3 linked regions of the Mus musculus genome follow. The protein of the gene in region 1 interacts with the protein of each later gene in a biochemical or structural test. Links are inferred from orthologs where the notes say so. Each region holds a gene or a part of one and is shown in the gene's direction. Other genes may lie near its edges.

What was found.
Region 2: the proteins of Rbx1 (region 1) and Ube2r2 form a complex in vitro, tested with the Homo sapiens proteins (10 studies listed by BioGRID). The link is inferred for Mus musculus from reciprocal best matches to the Homo sapiens genes RBX1 and UBE2R2.
Region 3: the proteins of Rbx1 (region 1) and Ube2g1 form a complex in vitro, tested with the Homo sapiens proteins (8 studies listed by BioGRID). The link is inferred for Mus musculus from reciprocal best matches to the Homo sapiens genes RBX1 and UBE2G1.

What each region holds. Positions count from the first base shown.
Region 1 is NC_000081.6:81,464,437-81,469,515, forward strand, and holds the start of Rbx1 (E3 ubiquitin-protein ligase RBX1), read left to right. Parts: upstream 1-1,879; 5' UTR 1,880-1,936; coding exon 1,937-2,014; intron 2,015-3,718; coding exon 3,719-3,797; intron 3,798-5,079. UniProt on the Homo sapiens protein: E3 ubiquitin ligase component of multiple cullin-RING-based E3 ubiquitin-protein ligase (CRLs) complexes which mediate the ubiquitination and subsequent proteasomal degradation of target proteins, including proteins involved in cell cycle progression, signal transduction, transcription and transcription-coupled nucleotide excision repair.
Region 2 is NC_000070.6:41,134,342-41,139,183, forward strand, and holds the start of Ube2r2 (ubiquitin-conjugating enzyme E2 R2), read left to right. Parts: upstream 1-1,679; 5' UTR 1,680-1,728; coding exon 1,729-1,905; intron 1,906-4,842. UniProt on the Homo sapiens protein: E2 ubiquitin-conjugating enzyme that accepts ubiquitin from an E1 ubiquitin-activating protein, and catalyzes its covalent attachment to other proteins by an E3 ubiquitin-protein ligase complex.
Region 3 is NC_000077.6:72,605,590-72,610,423, forward strand, and holds the start of Ube2g1 (ubiquitin-conjugating enzyme E2 G1), read left to right. Parts: upstream 1-1,671; 5' UTR 1,672-2,000; coding exon 2,001-2,046; intron 2,047-4,834. UniProt on the Homo sapiens protein: Accepts ubiquitin from the E1 complex and catalyzes its covalent attachment to other proteins. In vitro catalyzes 'Lys-48'-, as well as 'Lys-63'-linked polyubiquitination. May be involved in degradation of muscle-specific proteins.

The sequences.
Region 1 (5,079 bases):
CGTGTTAAGGTTGCTTATGGTATTCAGCACAGTAACAACGTGTGCAGGTTTGGAAACTAGGAGAAGTAAGTTCATAATATAGCCTAGGTGTGTAACAGGCTACCTCATCTAGGTTTGCGTAAGTACTTTATAGAATGTTCACACAATAACAAAATTGCCCAATGCCTTTATTCAAATGTACATGTATTACTGCCTCCTCCCCTCAATCTCACCATCTTGTTTTCTGTAGCATGTATTGCCACCTGAGACACCTTGATATAGTTGTTGATCTGTGTTTATTTCCTTACTGAGTTGACTTCACTGTGGCTTTCCTGTTTAAAGCAGAACCCAGTGTAGCTGAGCATGGTGGTTCTCCTCCCTCTATCCCTAGCACTTGGGAGGTAGAGGCAACAGAATTGCTCAGATTTCAAGGCCAGCCTGGGCTACAGAGTGAGGCCCTATCTCAATAATAATAATAATAATAATAATAATAATAAACCAAAAATTAAAAGACGAAGTAACATACTCAGGATAGTTGTTGACGAATGGATAAATATGTCCTCAGTATCTTAATTAACTATGGGTTTCTAGCATCCCTTAGGGGGTCTGTAGACACATAGACCAATGACAGATTTAGTGTGGGAGGTAGAACTTGGGCAGACACACACACACCTTGCAGGGCTCTCACAAGTCTCTGTGCAAGTTAAAACTGTGGTGGTATTCAGGATGTATTGCCCTGCTTAGCAAGTGCATCAATGACACACCGCATTACACACCAGCAAGTATTTCTTTTAACAGAACATTTCAGGACAGGCAGTGGTGGCGCATGCCTTTAATCCCAGCACTTGGGAAGCAGAAGCAGGCAGATTTCTGAGTTCGAAGCCGGCCTAGGTCCAGTCCTGAGTTCCAGGACAGCCAGGGCTACACAGAGAAAAACCCTTTCTGGGGGGGGGGAGGGGCACATTTCCGGTAAAACCCTTTTTGTTGTACTGTTGAGGGAACTAGAACACACAGGAAATTCAAGGGTGATGTATTCTAGTCATAACTCCGCAAATTTAGGAGACAAAACAGCGGAGGGCTGGACTAATCATGGAAGCTTACAAAACGTATGTGTTCTGTAGCTCGATGGTAATGACCGGTAAGAAAATCAGAATGCCTCACCAGAACTCAAGTTCAGCCACTACAAATGTACTAATTTAATCGTAGCACAGTAGCAAAACTCGATAGGAAATGAGGAGAAAGGAGGACCATTTAGAACTGGCTGGTTATGGGATTTACTATGGCATCCCCATCACCTTTCCTGTGAGAAGATAAAGGCAAAGTTGCAGAATGCCTGCTCTGTTTGCTCCTGGGCCTCTTCTCTCCCTATCAAATAATTTCCCAATCTGAAATTGATAACGCAGACGGTGACCAGGCCTTGGTAAGCCGGGCCACAGGCCTCCAGAGAGACACCGCCTGGCTCCGAAGCCGACCACGGTCAGCAGAAGGCCGGTTTGGAGTTTCGGGTTTCCAAAGACCAGCCCATGCCCTTTGCAACCACGGACTCGGGGGCAGCTCTGTGGATCTGGACCAGGGCTTAAGTCCTGGGGCAGAAGAAGGAAGCAGCCGCCGCCCCAAATGAAGGAGTCAGACCACAGGGCTTCCCAGAATGCGAGAAGCATCGAGACCTCACGGACGTTCCCACCGGTTGGCTCCCTTCTCTCGGCCCCGCCCGGCCCCGCCCGGCCCCGCCTCAATCACTCCAGCCTCCTCCCCAGCTGAGAGAGATGGGGAGGAGGGGGGCGGGAAACCTCCGCCTGCGCCTTTAAGGGGCGTGACCGCAGGCTCCGCCCCTTCTCCACGCTCGCGCCAATGAGGGGAGGGGTGCGGGAGGAGGCGCCTGGTGTGCGGGGCAGGCGGCGGAAAGTGAGCCGGTGCGCAGGCGCAGTGGTCACACGACAGACTGTGTGTTTCCAAAATGGCGGCGGCGATGGATGTGGATACCCCCAGCGGCACCAACAGCGGCGCGGGCAAGAAGCGCTTTGAAGTTAAAAAGGTTGGGCTCGCCAGCGCCTTCCTCAAGGAAGCTAGGGAGGCGCGGATATGGCTGGCAGGCCCGAGGAAGAGCTAGGCGCGGGGGAAAGGGCTTCATTTCAGGGCGTTCCTGGGACCGGGCACCAAGAACGGAAGCCGGGGGGCGGGCCTAGGGTTGATCGGCATGCTGGTGGCCCAGTGTCTGGGGCCCTATTAGTCTTGCTGGGGAAGCTGTGGGGCCAATCGCAGAGCTGCTTACTGAAATACGCGAGGTTGACTTCGATGCGGGAGCCAAGCGCTTGAGCTGTCACTGAAGTGACTGAGAGGTGGGGGAAGGACAGGGTGGGGTGGGTGGGATGCAGACTCGTGAAGAGACTGCGGCGGGTGGAGGATGGGGCCGTGCGGAGAACCCCGGGAACGTGAGATGACAGCGCAGAGGGGCTCTGCCGGTGTTCTTGCTCCGCCCCTTCCTGGATCCTAGAATCTATTGACTCCGAGGGACCTGGCGTGGGCCCTCGATTGTATGGCGGCCTCCATTGGCCTCTAAACCCACAGTCAAGTGTAAAGCTTGGTTCTAACGAGATGGCTACTAGTTGTCACATAGCATCTGCCACTCCAGTGGTTCTCTGATGTCCCTGTACACTTCTAACACAAAATGATAATTTAAAAGCCTGGTGGGCTTTGTTTTAAAAGCAAGCCCAGAACTTGTGCCATTTAAGAAGGTGGAGTACTAATTGCTAATGACCTGAGAACAGAAAAACAAAAATATGAAACGTCCTTTTGTATGCCGTTCCCCTTCATAGTTTGCTAGTCCTTTAAAAGTGTTGATTCCTACCTAAGATTACACAGATCTGTTAAAAATGAAGATCTTGAAGAGGGCAAGGTGTTTTCTTTTTATGGATTATTTTTGGAACGTGTCGCTGAGAATATCCCTCACCCCACCCCCTTTTTGTGTCATCTCATTGTGGCCACTGCTGCTCAGTTACAGCCTGCAGCCATTATGAAAAATAAAAATGTAATGTAGAATTTACTAAACTCTTATGCTTGAATTTGGAAAGTCAAACCAAAGTAGTCCTTGAAAAGGGTGCCTTGTCTAACATAAGAAGTCTTAGGTCGACTTACTGGAGCTAACAAAGTAATTGTTTGGATATATGAACGTTGAGAACATCAGTTTACTTGGTAAGAGGAAAAGAAAATCGCAGTGGATTCTACTTTGCTTGCAGTGCTCTTTTAAGGTTTAAGTGATGACCTCGTTCTGTGTACTGAAACTGGGTAGGTAACTTGCTATCCAGCTTATCCTGTGATTATCCACTTAGTGGTCCATTTATTATCTTAGTTCAGTCTGTTCACTTCCTTGCCTCTGAGTCCAAAACTTTGTGGAGAGCCCGTGCTTATGCAGATTTTGAGTTCTTCCACAGCTGTCAGGGAAAGCTGTACAGAAAATAGTACTAATATTCTCACGTTGGTTTGGCTAGCTAAATTATTTTACATTATATATAAAAAATTGAAGATACCCATGTTCATATACTTCATCTTTCAAGGAATGGGGAAGTGTACAGGTGGTCTGCTGTTGTCCTCTGATATAGTCCAAATAGTATAATCCAAAAACATCCTTTCTTTGGTAGGCCCTGTGGCTGGGGCGTTGGTAACTGAAGCTGCAAGCTGAAGTCCTAATGAGCTGTTAGATTACAAGGAAAATGCATTGTTTCCCCTCTTCTCCTTGCAGTGGAATGCAGTGGCCCTCTGGGCCTGGGACATTGTGGTTGATAACTGTGCCATCTGCAGGAACCACATTATGGATCTTTGTAAGTAACTCGGGGCAGATGGGAAGAAGTTGAGAAGGTTACAGAAATGGTGGTCATCCTGGTGTGCCCAATTGTCTTCTTTACCAGTGAATACAAAGCAGGCTCAGAACCCTTAGGCACTTGTGTATCTCATCCATTGGTGTGTTTGAAGTAGATTGTTTTGTGGTTGTTTGTGGAGACAGAGTTTTTTGTGTAGCCCTAGCTCTACTAGAACTCACTTTGTAGTAGACCAGGCTGGCCTTGAACTAGAGATCCACCTGCCTCTGCCTCCTGAATTAAATTGTTTCTTTTCTTTTCTTTTTTTTTTTTTTTTTTTTTTTTTTTGTGGGGTTTTTTTTTTTTTTTTGTGGGTTTTTTTTTTTTCTTTCTTTCTTTTTTTTCCCCCCAGACAGGGTTTCTCTGTGTAGCCCTGGCTGTCCTGGAACTCACTTTGTAGACCAGGCTGGCCTTGGACTCAGAAATCCACCTGCCTCTGCTTCCCAAGCGCTGGGATTAGAGGCGTGCACCACCACCGGTTAAGTTGTTTCTTAAAACAATGTCTTGGAGGCGTACCTTGCTCTCAGAATGAATTATTCATTGTAAATCAGGCAAGATCCCATTTAAAATGGGGTGTAGATAGAGTTGCCTTTTATTTCCTTCTTAGACAGCCATAAAGGCAAAAATAGTGGAAGAAAATGACCTTTGAAGGTAGATATAGTGGTATATGCCTGGAATCCCAGCATTTGAAAGGCAGTGGCAGGAGTATTGTTACAAATTACAGGCCCATCAGGGCTAAGATTTGAACTACAGTACTCTTACCTAAGCTAGTTTTTGTTGAACAAGATTACAATCACAGATTGGAGAGATGGTTCAGGAGTTAAGAACATTGGCTGCCCTTCCAGAGGACCCCGGTTCATTTCCCAGCAACCACATGCAGGCTCACCTTGCATAGACTATCACTTCAGTCCCAAGGGATTTAGTGTCATCTGCTGACTTTCAAGGTCACCAGACACACTCCAGTGTAGGCAAAACACCATACATAGTAAATGAATGAAGTCAATAAGTTAAAAGTAAATTTGCAGCCAGCACTATGTATTCTAAAGTGTTACATTTTCAGGTTTGAACAGCTTAGTGTCCATGGATGTGCGTGCGTGCATGCCTGTTATAAATGTGTGTATCCCCCCACTCCACATGTACTCATGCACCCATGGGCTCTCAGCAGGTCTCTCAGATACTCCCAGGTCTTAACTGTAGTATCCCTTTATGTCATTTAATCATGGCTCTCAGTTATATCCATGTTAGT
Region 2 (4,842 bases), on another chromosome or scaffold:
CAAAATGTTTGGGTTGGAACTTGTCTCGGTGTTCTGAGGTCTTTGTTTCTTTTTTCTTTCTCTGTTTCTTTGTTTCTTTTTCTTTCTTTCTTAAAGACAGGGTCTCTATGTAGCTCTGGCTGCCTGGAAATTGCTATGTAGACCAGGCTATCTTTGAATTCACAATCAGACTGTCTCTGCCTATCAAGTGCTGGAATCAAAAGTATGTGCCACCATTATAGCAAACAATCCTAGAGTATTCTAATCCAGGAACTGAAGACTGTGTCTCCCTAGCCACGCCACGGCCAGGTAGATCCGTAGAGTTAAAAAGCTCCACCGCAGCCGTCTGTTTTTAGAGAGAGGGTCTCATTATGTAGTACTGACTGGTAAGGAACTACTTAAGTAGACCAGGTTGGCCTCACACTGATCATTTTGCTTTTGTCCCCTTCCAAGGCCACACTAGGCCAACATCAATATTTTGCAAAGAAGTAGACTAAGTTATAGCCAGCGCTCTTCCCCAAATCTCATGGAAGCCCCGTAATCGGGCTCAACATTAGTTCTCTCCGCTTTCTACACAACCTACTACTTACTCTCGGTAAAAGGAAGCGGGAGCTTGCCTGCTTTTCTCTAGCTTTCCTTTGGGAGACTGCCTCCCCTGAGGTGGGAGACACAACCTACTGAAGCACTACTAAGTGTAAGGACCACAGCCTGGGTGTCACCGAGGGGTGCATGCGGAGGACCAGGGCTCCTCACAGGAAGGTTGCGGAGGCCAGGGGACACACTGGGCGCTAGTGCTGAGAGCCTTAGGAGCTGAGGTTCCTTCCGGGACACGCCTCTGGAACCGCGGCGTCCAGCCGCACAACCGTCACTTAGGGCCCAAAGTAATCCTCTGCGACCCGCCCTTGATCCCCACCTCCGCTTGGCTCTTTAAGGGTGGGGGACACGCGCAAGCGTCACAAAGCGCAGCCACCGTGGGGCCTGGCCGGGGTTGGGGGTGGGGGTTGGAGGGGGGAGTGGAGAAGCGAGCAGGCAGGAGCAGAGTAGAGCAGAGCACAGCGAGGAGGGCGGGGGGGGGGGGAGGGAAGGAGGGAGGGAGGGGCGCGCGCACGCGCACCGGGCCGCTGTCGCCGCGAGCCGCCCCCCTCCCGGCGCGCGCCCCTCCTCCTCTCCCTCCCTCCCTCCCTCCCTCCTTCTCTGCTCTGTTGCTCCCGCGGCGCGAGGCGCTCTCGCTCTCCTCCTCCGCCCCTCCCCCCGCGCAGCCGCCGCCGCCGCCGTCCCGAGACCCCAGCGCACGGCGCGCCCTCCCTCGTGCGCCCCTCCGGCCCCCGCGGAGAACGAGAGGGCGAGCGAGCACGGCGATCCCGGGCCGCCTCGGCCCCCCCACCCCTGTCTTCACCATCGTCTGCCCTCCGCCGCCTTCCTTCGCTTCCACCTCCACTCCCCCCCCCATAAGTAGAGGCCCCCTCCGGGGGGGGGAGGCCCGGAGCCCGGAGCGGATTCCCCCAACTCCCTTAGGCCCGCCCCCGCCCGGCCCGAGTGTGAGGAGGGCCCGGGCCGGCCCGAGTCGTGAGTGAGGAGGACCCCGGGCGGGCCCGCGGGCCGTCTGGGGCCTGGTCCGGCCCCGCCAGGCGTGTGAGGACAGACAGGGGCCCGGCCCGGCCCGAGGGCGAGCGGAGGGGAGGGGCCTGGTCCGGCCCGGCCGGTGCGCGAGGACTGGGGCCGCGGCCCCGCACGGCCGCCGCCGCCGCGATGGCCCAGCAGCAGATGACCAGCTCGCAGAAAGCCCTGATGCTTGAGCTGAAATCCCTGCAGGAGGAACCGGTGGAGGGCTTCCGGATCACCCTGGTGGATGAGTCCGACCTCTACAACTGGGAGGTGGCCATCTTCGGACCCCCTAACACCCTCTACGAAGGCGGCTACTTCAAGGTACCGCCACCCTTTCTCGGCCCAGCTTCCCCGGTCTCGGCTTTCCGCCGCTGGCGGGGAGCGTGAGCTCGGGGGAGCCGGGGGTGGGGGGTGGGGGCTCCTCACCTCGCAGCCCCCTCCCCCATCCGTAGAGGCAGGAAGGCCTTGCTCACCAAGTGCCTTTTCTTTGTCATGGGGCGGGGGCGGGAGGCCAGACTGCACCGGGAAATAGGAAAAGCCTCTTTGGCTGGGGTAGTGGCTATCGGGAAGGAGGGCTGCCTTTGTTTTGTTTCTCCAGCTGAGGGGTGTGTGGAAATAGGGATGGTCTAGCTTCTCTTTCTCGGACCCATCTGAGCCTTCTCTGCGCAGGCTGGAACTGCCCCAGAGGGCAGGGTGACCTGCACTTACTGGATTGGACTTTTCTCTTTTTTAGGGGGGTGTGGGGGAGGAATATTAGCCTGTCATTGCCCGTGTTGCTAGTGCCCTGACATTTGGAGGATTTGTTGGTCTTGGGTAGTGGTAGTCCAACTTTTGATTACAGTAGGTGGTAATAAGGAAGAGGACCATGGGGGTGGCCAAAAAAGGGAGGGTGGTGTGCTGGCCGTTGTCTTGTTGTTCATCCACTCGAGGGGACTTTAATTTAGTCCTCTTTCTGTCCTCGTTTTCCATTTACTTTATAGTCAGTCTCTGCTGCTTCCAAAATGCCCTTTGTCCTTTCCTACCAAGTTTACTAGCACCCCCCCCCCCCCCCCCACACACTCCATGTACAAACATCCACAAAGGGTGGAACGCGTCAGGCAGATTGATAGTTTCCCACTTTCGAGAGACAAGATTAAAAGCTTTTGCTTAGGTGGTTAGCTCCAACAAATGGGGTCGTCCCACAGATGAGCTGCATCCGAGGTGATAGGCTTTCTCATGGTGGAGTGTTTCCTTAGGCTGCCACTATATAGACATTGTTTCCATTAATTATTTCTGAGTTCAGTACTTGGAGATACTGTTTTTGTTTTGTTTTGTTTTGTTTTGTCTTGATTTGACTGAAGCAGTTTATTTGGAGGGTAGAATCCCTGAGTGAAGATGTTGTGGGGGGTAGAGACAGAGGGAATGGGTGTTTAGGAATTCATTTATTATTTTATTTCCAAAATTAGGTAAAATAGGCCAATGAGTCAGTTTTCGTTTGTTTTGAAGGGAGGGGTTATCTTGGCACAAGTTTTAAACGAATATCTTAGTCATGTAGTTGTGATGGGTATTTTTAGGACTGCCCAACTACTTACCTCTTATTTTCTACCGTCCAAAAGCCTCAAATTTCAGGCTTTAAACTGGGTCAACTTTTTTGAAAATAGGATTGATAGGGAATGCTTAACATTCATGCATGTGATAGTTGCTGAATACTTAGTAAAAGGACATTTTTAGAACGTTATATAAGAGTGTAGCATCCTTACCAACTGTTTGCTTCATCTTTTGTGGTCAGCATACAAGTATACTTTTTAGATGCAGGTGCTTAAAGTTTAAGCAAAGGTTCCAGTTTATTAGTGATAGATTGGAAAGGGTATTGTTTCTATGTTGAGGTATGCTATATGTCAAATATAAATTTTAATTTATAGATATTGAGAGTATTGCACAAAGTGGAGTTCATATGATATATTTCCTAGAAAACATTTTCAAAGCAGACTACTGGTTAATTTTAAAGAGGATGGTTTTGTTTTATTTATTTGTTTTTGTTTTTGTTTTTGTTTTGAGACAGGGTTTCTCTTTGTAGCCCTGGCTATGCTGGAACTTGCTCTGTGACCAGGCTGGCCTTGAACTCACAGATAGCCTCTTGCCTCTGCCTCTGCCTCTGCCTTCCAGGTTCTGGGATTAAAGTAGCACCATGCTGAGCTTAAGGATACAGTCTATTTTCCAAAAAGTATTATTTCTGGAACAATTGATAGTTAAGGTAAATGGTAGTTAATCTCTTATTGAAATTTGTTTTTAAAAAGCTATGAAAGTAAGACTTTTGCTTACTAATGATTTTGAATTGATAAAATGGAAATATTTCCTGTAGCATATACTAATTTAAAATAAAGCTGAGCAGTGGTGGCTCACACCTTTAACCCAGCACTCAGGAGGCAAAAGCACTTGAATTTTTGAGCTTGAGACCAGCCTGGTCTATAGAGCCAGTTCCAGGACAGCCAGGGCTACACAGAGAAACCCTGTCTCAAACAACAACAACAATAATAATAATAAAATAATAAAGGCTTTGTGCTAGGGCTGTAGCGCAGTGGTAGAATACTTGCCTAGCATTCCCAAAGCTCAGATTTTCTTTTTTTTAAACTCCAGCAACACACCTACAACAAAATATACAAATCATAGCTTTAGTCCTTTTGAAAAAGATTACCTTTGGGGACCAGGGGTGTACCTCATTTGTAGAGAGCTTGTCTAGCATAGTGAAAACCCTGGGTTCCATCTCCAGTACTGTCCAGACCCAGAGGTGCTCCTGAAATCTGAACAGTCAGGAAGCAAAGGCAGGACAAGTTATGCAAGCAAATCTGAGGTCAGCCTCCTCTATACAGTAAGTTCTAGACCAACCAGGGCTGTGTAACCAGAGGGAGGAAAGGAAGAAAAAGTCTTTATTTCCTGTTGAGTATGGTTTGTTTTGTTTTTTCAAGACAGAGTCTTGCTGTTTATTCCTGTGTAGCTGGTCTAGAACTCTCAGAGATAGACTTGCTTCTGCTTCCAGAGTTGCTGAGGTCAAAGGCACAGATGTACCCTCACACCTGGCTCTATCTAGTTTAAATTCCTTTTCAGAAAAATATTTTTATTGTTTTGAGACTATAATTTTACACCCCCCTTCTCCTTCATTTAATCCTCTCCCATATGCCCTTCTCTCTTTCAAATTTATGTTCCCCCTTTAAAGATTCATGTATGGATACCACATGTGTGCTTGCTTGGTGCCTTTGAAGTTCAGAAGGACATTGGAGC
Region 3 (4,834 bases), on another chromosome or scaffold:
CCAATTCTAGAGCATCTGATGTCCTCTTCCAGATTTTGGGTACCAGGCATACACATGGTACACATAAATTCACCCCGGCTCATATATATACCCATTAAAACAAAATCCTTAAAAACAAACCCACAGAGGGATATGGTGGGGCATGGTTTTAGTTCCAATCCAGACAGAGGCAGGCAGATCTCTTGAGTTCGAACCTGCAACCTGGTCTGCAGAGGGGTTCCAGGACAGCTAGGGCTATACAGAGAAACTCTGTCTCAAAAAACCAAAACCAACCAACCAAAACAAACAAACAAACAAGCAAAACAACTACAAAAAACCAACCCCTCCCCTATCCCAACCATAAAGCTGGATTAGTCCCTAGGTGGGCAGTATTTCAAAATGGCAGATTCACTCAATGTTTGTTTCTTTGGTCTGGTGGGACAGTGCTAGGGAGGTAAGCCAGGGCCTTGTGCCTGCTTGCCCAGTAATTTTTATTACATGCCTAACGGAATCTGCTCCTCTTGTTCACTTTACTTGGAGTTCACAGAAGCTTCATGCTTTTGTGGGTAGAAATGGACCTGATTTCCTATGCACAGTTTTTGTTTTCTACAGTCCAGGTACAGGGAAGTAGGGATTGAACAAACACTTATTGAAAGAACAAGCAAGGGGCTGGAGAGATGGCTTAGCGGTTAAGAACACTGGCTGATTTCCCAAAGGTCCTGAGTTCAATTCTCAGCAACATGGTGGCTCACAACCATCAGTAATGGGATCCTATGACCTCTCTTGGTGTGTCTGAAGAGAACAACAGTGTAGTCATATACATAAGTAAATAAATCTTTAAAAGAAAGAAAGAAGAAACAAAATTGAGTGTCAATGTTACTTTTCCCCCTTCCCTTTTTTGTTTCTTTATTGCTACAGTGTTGACAAAGCACTCAACTGGGAAATGGGCAAGGAGGTTGGATAAGGTTGACTTTTCCTAATCTCGGCTTTCACACTTGGACTTTACATAGTAGGTGCCTTTTCTAGAGGAGTCTGATCTATTATGGATCCTCATCCCCAGACGGAGATTGGGTATCACTGTGCAGCGAAGGGGACCTGGGTCTTCTAATCCTCAGCCTCAAGTGTTGAGATTACAGGAGAATACCACCTGAATCCGAACCATTTATCAGGTTGTGCTAATCACAACTCTGCACTTTACTCAGTCTTACTATTTACTTAAACGTTTTCTGCTATGAGACTCATAACATTTTTATTTCAAGGACCATTCTGTGCATTCTTTATGAATTATCACCATGCACTCTATTTTGCGGCTGCTTAAAATGGTGCACACCAGTACTAAATTCGGCTTTGTAACAATGACTAATTCGCACACCTCCGATGTAGTGTTGGATGGCTGCTGGGTCCTCGCCAACATCTACCACTTCTGGTCCCATCACGCTTAGACCTCCTGCTTATACCGGGAGGCAGCGTCCTGACCCTCCGCGACCTCTTTGTCATGGCGTCCGCGGGGCGTCTACCAGCCGACGCTTCCGCAGCTGGGCGGGCGTGGACCTTCCCAAGATGGCGGGGCTGAGCCCACTGCGCGCGGTGGGCGGGGTTCCACCGCCGGAGGCGGGGCAGCAGGGCCGAGGGGTCGGGCTAGCAGGAGTGCTGCTTCTGAAGGAGGCAGGCTCAGCGCGCTTGCGCGGAGCGGCCCTGCGCGCAGTGAGGCAGTGGCGGGGGAAGGCACCGGTGGGGCCGACGGGCGGGCAGAGGAGGGAAGCGGGCGAGCGAAGTCCCAGTGCGCGCCGCGGCGGCCCGGGTACCCTCCCCTTCCGGGCGTGAGGCGCTGAGCGAGGAAAGCCGAGCGGAGCGGACTCGCATAGGCGGCGAGGTGCTTCTCGGGTCTCCCAAGACCGGCCTCCCCGCGGCTTCGGCGCTCCGGTCCGGGTTCCTCAACACACATCTAGCTCCAGGCACCGGCAGAGCTTGTCGCCAGTCCGTCGAAGTCCCGGTGGCGGCCCGGGCTCTCGGTGGGGAGGATGACGGAGCTGCAGTCGGCGCTGCTACTGCGAAGACAGCTGGCAGGTGAGCGGCGGGGCGCCGGGCCGCGATCGCGGACTGCCGAGCCACTCGCCTCCTCTCGCCCGCTCGGAGGCTGGGTGGTGGCGGGCCGCGAGGGTGGGAGCCCGCGAGTCGCGGCGAGCTGGCGACACTCCTGGCCCGGCTGTGGAGGGTGTTGGGGGCGGGGACGCTCCCCAGCCTCGCCCTCGGACGGGCCGGACGCCCTGGGCGGCTGCCCCCTCCCCCACGGCACTGGGGCGTTGCGGGGGAGGGGCGTGGGTCCCGGTCGGGCCGACCCTCCCTGAGGGGCGGATCCCGGGCTCAGGTGCGGCGGAGGCCGCGGAACCTCGGGGACCCCGGGAGCTTGCGGGGTCCCCGCGCGGCTGTGAGTCCGAGCCGTGTCGGGGGCCGGAGAGGGGAGGCGCGCCAAACTTCTGGCCCGGCAGCGCGGGGTTCGCGGAGTTAGGGCAGACAACAAAAGCGACGGCGGGGCTGGCCCGGGTGCTGACGCGGGGCACCGGGGGGCTCGGCGGGGAGCGCGACTCCGCTTCGCCTGCCTCCGCCTGGCACGAGCTCGGGCTGCGCCGCCCGTCTGGGGGAGGGTGGGCGCGGGCGCTGGGGAGAGCGGCTCGCTGGCCGGCCCGGGCTTTGTGCTCCGTGGGCACGGCTCGGGCTCCTTCGCGCAGGCTCGCGGCCACCGGGCTGCGGCCCGCCTTAGGCTCTGGCCAGGGGCGGCGGCTCAGTGCCTCCCCCGTGGAGTCTCTGTCCCCCTCCCCCATTGTCCCGGCCTCTGGCCGTTTGCGGCTTCCAGGTTGACTTTTTAGGGGGTTGGCTCCTACTCTGCTAGGACTGTGTGAGCGGAGCATGCGCGCTGGAGGCGTACGTGTGCGGAGTGGAAGGGGGGGAGGGAGGAGGCGGGTTGGTGCCTTCACAATGCCGCCCCACGTGCTGCCAGATTTAAAGAGAAATGAACCGGTAGTTAGCCCTGCTGTCCTACGCCAAGCGTGTGCCTGGCTTGGTTCAGGCGACTTCACCCCTCCTCAACCTGTAGCCAGTCCTCTCCCCCCACCCCCCTTTTAAACTTTCTGAAAGCCGGAATGTTGATAAATGAAATAGATTTCTATGAGTTTGAGGTGTCAGCTAAATCACCTTTATGACTTCTTAAGGAAAAGGTCGACAGGGGCTGTTACAGATTGTATAATTAGGTTTATTATTAGACCATGAGCTAACAGGTTTGGACAAGTATTAAAATTCTAGGTGGGACAGCAATTTGAAGTGGATGGAAAAGTTAGAATCCCCATCAGAAATATTTTCGAAAGAAGTTAAACAATTTATTGCATCTTATTTAAAAACATTCTTTTTCTGAGGTCTTTTTCGCCTTTTGTTTTGGATGAAGGAATTAAAATTTTTGACTTAGTAGGAATTCTTTATCGAAACCTGCCTGGTCTACTGTAGTGGATTCTGGGACATCAAGGGCTATGTAGAGAAACTCTGTCTCAGAAAACAAAAACAAAAACTAACAATAAAATCAACTATCTGCATTAATTTTTATTATGTGGCAAATTATTAAATAGACGGTAAACACTGAATATTAAAAGGATAACCTTACATAGTGGAAATGACATACATTTTTAAAGGTGCAAAAGATTTTACAGTTTAACAATACCACTATGTTAAAATAAGACCCATTTGTGAGCATCTTTTTTTTGGGGGGGTGCTGAGGTTAGACAGTTTTTCTAAGGAGTCCTTCACTGTCTGGAACTCACAGAAATATGCCTGCCTGCCTCTCTCTGCCTGTCTCTCTGTGTCTGTCTGTCTGTCTCTCTCTCTCACAGGTTTTCTCTTATATAACCCTGATTGTTTTGGAACTCCATGTAGATCAGGTTGGCCTTGAACTTAACACAGATCTGTCTTCTGCCTTCCAAGTGCCTGCCCCCCACCTTCTTGTTCTTTGAGCTGGAATTTGAATCCTGTACCACCATACTAGGTTTATTTATTTTATTTTCCACAGAAATAATAAATAATAGTTTAAATCATATTTTAGGGATACTTAACTTTCTCAAAATGTATGGAACAAAGTTTGTTGGTTGAAATGTGAAAATATTAAATTTATTTGAGAAGACTGGATGAGCACCTAAAAATAAAGGCTTTTTCTTTTTTACTTTAGCATTTTTAAATGAGTTTTCTTATCACTTGAAAATAGTAAATGGTAAAATATAATCTTGAAATGAATGAACTTGTATAAATGCCTTAAAAATACTAAATTGAGCTGACTAGGTAACATAATCTGATAAAGTGTCCTCAGTGCTAGAGTTTCAGAAATGTATAGCAGTGGCTGCATTTGTTGAACTAGTAGTTTGCCAGTGATAAAAGGTTTTGATTCATTACCTAGGAGAATTTATCCTGTAACGAGGCTTTGTAAGCATTCAGTTGAGCAGAATGGTGCCCTGAGTGACAGAATTTCTCATTTCTGGTACCATGACATTTAGGGCAGTTGTTGCTGTGGAGGGTTGTACCTGTGCAGTAAAGGTTACAGCATTCCTGTCTGTACCTACTAGATACCAGTAGTACATCCCTTCATTGTGACAGTGAAAAATATATCTATTGCCAAAGTTCCCTGAGACGGAGTCATTGGATTATGGTGTGTCACAGTGGTGGCTACTGGGAAGCCAGTAAGAGCACCACACACACACATGAAGTCAGACAGCTTGTGTATTTCTCTGTGATATTATTAGCTTATGACTTACTGCTCGACGGATTTAGTGGCAGTTTTTTGTTGTTTGTTTTGTGATGCATTAAACACCAAGAAGTC